Linked DNA regions of Saccharomyces cerevisiae S288C. The gene in region 2 interacts genetically with the main gene of each other region. Each region holds a gene or a part of one and is shown on either strand. Other genes may lie near its edges.

What was found.
Region 1: mutations in UPS2 (region 2) and PHB1 together harm fitness more than expected from each alone (negative genetic interaction), as found in Saccharomyces cerevisiae (5 studies listed by BioGRID, with this or other methods).

What each region holds. Positions count from the first base shown.
Region 1 is NC_001139.9:754,672-758,104, forward strand, and holds PHB1 (prohibitin subunit PHB1), read right to left. Parts: upstream 1,782-3,433; coding exon 918-1,781; downstream 1-917. Other genes in the region: FHN1 (Fhn1p), read left to right, coding at 55-579; PEX4 (E2 ubiquitin-protein ligase peroxin 4), read left to right, coding at 2,225-2,776; CCR4-NOT core subunit CAF130, read left to right, coding at 3,099-3,433. UniProt on the Saccharomyces cerevisiae protein: Prohibitin probably acts as a holdase/unfoldase for the stabilization of newly synthesized mitochondrial proteins. Involved in mitophagy; may act as an adapter for ATG8 that supports mitophagosome assembly.
Region 2 is NC_001144.5:498,292-501,870, reverse strand, and holds UPS2 (Ups2p), read left to right. Parts: upstream 1-1,600; coding exon 1,601-2,293; downstream 2,294-3,579. Other genes in the region: DPH5 (diphthine synthase), read left to right, coding at 1-611; APS1 (Aps1p), read left to right, coding at 822-1,292; ubiquitin-40S ribosomal protein eS31 RPS31 fusion protein, read right to left, coding at 2,466-2,924. UniProt on the Saccharomyces cerevisiae protein: Required for mitochondrial cristae morphogenesis and MGM1-processing. Controls the stability of mitochondrial phosphatidylethanolamine (PE). With UPS1, controls the level of cardiolipin in mitochondria.

The sequences.
Region 1 (3,433 bases), on a different chromosome or scaffold from region 2:
GAGGCTTCATATTCATTGGAATTTTAAATAACAATAAAGCAACAACAATAATAAATGCTATCAGCTGCAGATAATTTAGTGCGCATCATAAATGCTGTTTTTCTTATTATATCCATAGGTCTAATCAGCGGCCTGATAGGTACACAGACAAAGCATAGTTCTCGAGTGAACTTTTGTATGTTTGCCGCCGTTTATGGTCTGGTTACGGATTCATTATATGGGTTTTTGGCTAATTTCTGGACATCATTAACATACCCAGCAATTTTGCTTGTTTTGGATTTTTTAAATTTCATATTTACGTTTGTAGCAGCCACCGCTTTGGCTGTAGGTATAAGATGCCATTCGTGTAAAAACAAAACATATCTGGAACAGAATAAGATCATACAAGGCTCAAGCTCCAGATGTCATCAATCTCAGGCTGCTGTTGCGTTTTTTTACTTTTCCTGTTTTCTATTCCTCATCAAAGTGACTGTGGCCACGATGGGTATGATGCAAAATGGTGGATTTGGCTCTAATACCGGATTCAGCAGAAGGAGGGCAAGAAGACAAATGGGCATACCTACAATTTCCCAGGTTTAAGCCTACTGGACTGAAAAAAAGGCAATTCGCGTACAATTTTCGTTGATCGTTCTTTATATAACCTTTGCATTAAATAAATTTAACAAAAAAAGTTCTTTCTAAAATAATATTATGGTGATACATGAATGTGCTTTAGTTTTTTCGTAGGCTCATCCATGTATATATATAAATGATAAAAAACTAAGTTACGATATTGATAGCATACGTATTCGTGTTGGTAACTAAATGGAAAGATGGAATATGTTATTGGCGTTGTTATCCCCCATATATACAGGTTTCTAATATGATTAAAAAAAAATTTTCTCCCCTAGTTTATTGTGTTCATAGCTTTTCCAGACTTAACGGCCAATGTTCAAAAGCAAGGAATTTGGTGATCCCGAAGACTCGCTGTTACCACCACCAGAATGTTGACTTGGTAAATAGACAACGTTAGATGAGTTTGCTAATGTTTGAGCGATGTCCTTAGAAGCTTCTAATCTTCTAATCAATAACAGACCATCACCAACTTTAGCTAAGGCTTTTGAAATGAATTCAGCACTTTCTGCTTCACCTTCAGCTCTGATAACAGAAGCTTGTCTCTCTTGCTCTGCCTTTTCGACAAGGAATTTGGCTCTTTCGGCATCTTGCTGTGCAATCTGCTTCTGCTCAACTGCTTTCGTGAATTCGGGACCAAACGTCATATGAGTGATAGAGACATCTTCCAACTTAATACCGAATTCGTTGGCCCTCGTAGAAAGCTCTTTTCTGATTTTTTGAGAAATAATTTCTCTCTGAGTAATTAACTCAGCAGCATCAAATTGAGCTACTATAGACTTTAAAACCTCATTGCCGATAGATGGTAACACTCTTTCGTCGTAATCGAGACCCAAATTTTGGTATATTGCGGGTAGCTGTAAGACCTCTGGTCTATGTAAGACTCTCAAGGTCAATGACACCATTTGCAAATCCTTCGTACCAGTATTGGTAGCAATGCTCTTTGGTTTCGTCCTCACATCGTATATGATCGCCTTCTGTAGCCAAGGCACCAAGAAATGAGTGCCTTCACCCACAACCTGTTGCTTTACACCATTGATTCTGTCGAAAATAACACCACGAGAACCACCCTTCACATCATACATGGAGTACTGAATCCCGCTAGCAATTATACCAATGGGCAACGCCACCTTGGTGATGACATCGATAAGTTTGGCAGAATTAGACATTCTTTTCTAAAGTAAATTATTGATTTTGAATGTAAGTTTCGTACCGTTGATGGTTGGTTTACCGATTTATTTTTTTTCCTCTTCTTTCTGCTTAATATTATATACCTCAACCGTTGCATCCATGAGATCGTCAAACTCCCTTTCCCTGAAATTTATTGATGCGATACATTCGCGTTACCCGTATCATCATGAAGACGAGTTTATTCTCATCAGTGTTGATCTCTCATACTTGAATAACTCATTTGCAATGGTCTAAGACTCCAACTATGTAGTCATAGTCATTCACTGAAGTTTCTCTTTTCGAAATCCTGAACGGAAGCGGAATATATGTGGTATATATCGCATATTACTGCTTCACAGCATGCAGCGCAGACTGGCCGGGTTATGCTGCCACTTACTGGAGACAACATAAAATATACATAATCATCGCCTTTATACATAATATGCCAAACTTCTGGATTCTTGAGAATCGTAGGAGCTATACGTCTGATACATGTATGTCGAGGATCGTGAAGGAGTACAAAGTCATACTGAAAACATTGGCCAGTGATGACCCCATAGCGAACCCCTACCGGGGGATAATCGAGTCACTTAACCCGATTGACGAAACCGACTTGAGCAAGTGGGAAGCTATAATTTCTGGGCCGTCAGACACACCTTATGAAAATCATCAGTTTCGAATACTAATAGAAGTCCCTAGTTCCTACCCCATGAATCCACCAAAGATAAGTTTTATGCAGAACAATATTTTGCACTGCAATGTTAAATCAGCCACAGGAGAAATATGTCTGAACATCCTTAAACCAGAGGAGTGGACTCCTGTATGGGATTTGTTACACTGTGTTCATGCTGTTTGGAGACTCCTAAGGGAACCCGTTTGTGATTCTCCACTTGACGTAGACATTGGTAATATCATCCGCTGTGGCGATATGAGTGCCTATCAGGGGATTGTAAAGTACTTCCTAGCAGAAAGAGAGCGGATCAACAACCATTGATACCACGTAGGATGGATGTGTTCGAATGGCAAACAATGGGCCCTCACTTTTATCTGATGCAATTTCTACCTTACCCGGGCAGCGCCAATTTATGAATACAAATACTTTAACAAATTGCACTATTGATGTATTGACACATTTGTATATACATATACATATATTAATAAGGAGCACGAATTTTTGACAAGTAGTGCACGCAATATCTACATTAGTTAGCTTTTCCATTGACGCTGAATTTTATTTTGGCAGCCCAGTAGATCGTTGAGGAGCTTTTTTCAAACACTTTTTCTCTCTTAACTCCACATACTTACGTAAGAAAGTGATGACGAAAAAGAAAGCAGCTACTAATTATGCTGAAAGGCAAAATTTAGCCAGTGAAGATTCTTCAGGTGATTCGGTTCATTTTAAGGACTTTATTCCCTTACAAGAGTTACTGAAAGATAAAAATTATGTTCCATCGGTGGAAAATTTGGAGAAGATCTTATATAATGAAACCATGTTTAATGATCAGAAAATATGCTCTAACCTATTGCTTGAGGCTCTCATAATTACGTTGTTCACAACAATTTCAGGGAAGTCAGCTTTACGATTAATTCAGACTTCTTCTTTGAAGGAAAGAAAATCCTGGGCCCAGTCCTTTGAAAATAACAGTTCTAG
Region 2 (3,579 bases):
GAGCTAAACGTGAGGCAATTCCCGTCGAAATTATTCATAATGCGTCCGTTATGAATGCAGTTGGGGCATGTGGCCTACAACTATACAATTTCGGTCAAACCGTTTCCATGGTTTTCTTTACCGATAATTGGAGACCAGACTCATGGTACGACAAGATCTGGGAAAATAGAAAAATTGGCCTTCATACTTTAGTGTTATTGGACATCAAAGTTAAGGAACAAAGCATTGAAAATATGGCCCGTGGCAGACTAATCTACGAACCACCAAGATACATGTCTATCGCTCAATGTTGTGAACAATTATTAGAAATTGAAGAGAAAAGAGGTACAAAGGCATACACTCCTGATACTCCAGCAGTCGCAATTAGTAGATTAGGCTCGAGCTCCCAAAGCTTTAAGTCTGGTACCATAAGTGAGTTAGCCAATTACGATTCAGGAGAGCCACTTCATTCGCTTGTCATCCTCGGCAGACAATGTCATGAATTGGAGCTGGAATACCTGCTAGAGTTTGCCGACGACAAAGAAAAGTTTGGGAAAGATGTGGCAAATGACCAAGAGTACTTCAAACCTGCGGCATGGGTCCCACCCACAGAAGACGACAGCGACGAGTAAAGGTAATGCACACGCTCATGTGTAGTTTCTTTTTTATAATGTATATTGAATAGATCCTTTCAGTCGGGTAACAATTCGATCCCAAACGAATCGGGCCCTAACGATATGTGTAAAAATGGCAATGAATGAACAAGAAGTTATAACAACAATTTCAGCCAAGAACAAGAGCGATCCTGGAGGAGATTATATACGGATACACAGGTACACAAGATGACGCAATTAAAATATTTGTTGCTGGTTTCTAGGCAAGGAAAAATCAGATTAAAGAAATGGTACACGGCAATGTCCGCTGGTGAAAAGGCAAAAATTGTGAAAGACTTGACACCTACGATATTAGCAAGAAAACCCAAAATGTGTAACATCATCGAGTATAATGACCACAAAGTAGTATACAAGCGATATGCTAGTCTATATTTTATTGTTGGGATGACGCCCGATGTTGACAATGAACTGCTGACCTTGGAAATTATCCATCGGTTTGTCGAAACAATGGACACATATTTCGGCAATGTTTGTGAGCTAGACATTATATTTAACTTCAGTAAGGTCTACGATATCTTGAATGAGATGATTATGTGCGATGGCTCCATCGCAGAGAGCAGTAGGAAGGAAGTACTGCACCATGTGACCGTGATGGACACCATGGAGAGCAACGATAATCTTGAAAGGGTATTGAGTTAGGACCACTAAAAAACAATGGAATGAAGAAGAAAGGAGAAGAATAAGATGAGAAGGGGGCAAGGGGCCCTACTATTATTACCGTCTGTCGCAAAAGCCGTTGCCCGGACAAAAATATCTTTTGCGAGCATCGGCACAACGTTGATTGGTCAGAGCGGTAAAAAGGAATGAATGTGAAAAATGTAAAGAATATATAGGCGATAAAATTATCATGCGAAGTGATGTACATATTTTTGAATTTAAGCATCAATAGGACGAAAGAATAGATTTCAGACTAAGATAAAATAATCGAGAATAATTAAAAGACGATAATGAAATTGTTTCAAAACAGTTACGATTTCAACTATCCATGGGACCAGGTAACCGCCGCTAACTGGAAAAAATACCCAAATGAAATATCTACACATGTCATCGCAGTGGACGTTTTAAGAAGAGAATTGAAGGATCAAGGTAAGGTCTTAGTTACTGAACGGTTGATTACTGTAAAACAAGGTGTTCCCAAATGGATCATGATGATGCTAGGAGGGACCAATATGAGTCATGTCAGAGAAGTTTCTGTGGTAGACTTAAATAAAAAGAGCTTGACCATGAGAAGCTGTAATTTAACGATGTGCAATCTATTAAAAGTCTACGAAACTGTAACATATAGCCCGCATCCCGATGACTCGGCTAATAAAACACTTTTCCAGCAGGAAGCCCAAATTACAGCATATGGATCCATTAGAAAGCTGTGTAATAAGATGGAAGATTGGTCAGTTCAAAGGTTTTGCGAGAACGCTAAAAAGGGTAAAATGGGATTCGATGCTGTTTTGCAAGTATTTAGTGAAAATTGGGAAAAACATGTTGATGACTTGAGCAATCAACTTGTCAGTAAAGTCAATGAAACCATGGAGGATGTTAAAATATCTGCAGGTACGCTTCTTAAAGGAACTGAAAGGAGCGGCAGAACCATCTTACAGCAAAATATTGACTTGTTTAGAGACGCATACAACCACGAAAATTAGAGATACAAATTCCTTGATCCCGCATGGCACTGCATACTACTTATATTCCTCTACTGTCTATCTATTCATTTGTTCTTTTGTTGTAAATAGAAAAGTAAATAATGACAATATTAAAAGCCTTTTTCAAAATTTAACGATCAATTAAAATATATAAGTTTTAAAAATACTTTACTTAAGCGTTAACCTTGTAGACGGAATGACACTTACCACAGTACAATCTGTCCTTGTGGTTAGCCAAGAAAACACCAGCACCACAAGTTGGGTTGCTACATTCTCTTCTCAATTTGGTAACCTTACCTTCAGCATCGACCTTGTAGTAGGACAAGACAGCCAACTTGACCTTCTTGTGCTTGTGCTTGATCTTCTTTGGGGTGGTGTAGACCTTCTTCTTTCTCTTCTTACCACCACCTCTCAATCTCAAGACCAAGTGTAGAGTAGATTCCTTTTGGATGTTGTAGTCGGACAAAGTTCTACCATCTTCCAATTGCTTACCAGCAAAGATCAATCTTTGTTGGTCAGGTGGAATACCTTCCTTGTCTTGGATCTTGGACTTGACATTGTCAATAGTGTCAGAAGATTCAACTTCCAGGGTAATAGTCTTACCGGTTAAAGTCTTGACGAAAATTTGCATCTTGGCTTGTCGGCAAAATTAAAAATTAACTGCTTCTTTCTTACCAAGTAATCTTGTGACTTCTTTGTATTGGAATAAAAGATAGAAGTAAGGAAGTTTCTGATATAACGAACATCTCAAAATATTTAAACCATTTAATAAGTCTAAAAGTATCTAGTTTTTCATTTTGATGAGTTCCCACCGCTTGAAAAAGTGCGCCCGGGCCAAAAAAAAAAGTTTGTACTAAAATAAATGATAAATGATAAACCCAATTCCTTACAGGATGCACGGAGGTAAACAGGAAAGATATCTCAAGAACTTCTCGTTCATTAACCCCAGGTAGATCGCACTAAAGACTTCACCACTATTGATAAAGGTTTTGTAGAATATTTATTATCGATACCTTGCGGTTGCAAATTAATATACCCATCAAATAATTAACCCCAACCAAGTTTAATTTCTCTCCTTTCAACAAATGGGGAGGCTCAAATGTTTTTACTTACTTGAAACACTCTTTTGATTTGCTACAAAATAATCAAGCAGCGATATTTAATATGAAATTCTACCTTTAAAATTACTCCTATGACTCCACATGCATGGGGGAGGGGTAAGATGCGCAGTCAAATCAGAGAGAAATGTTATGTAGCAAAGATAATGAGTGCGTCTGAATAAAACT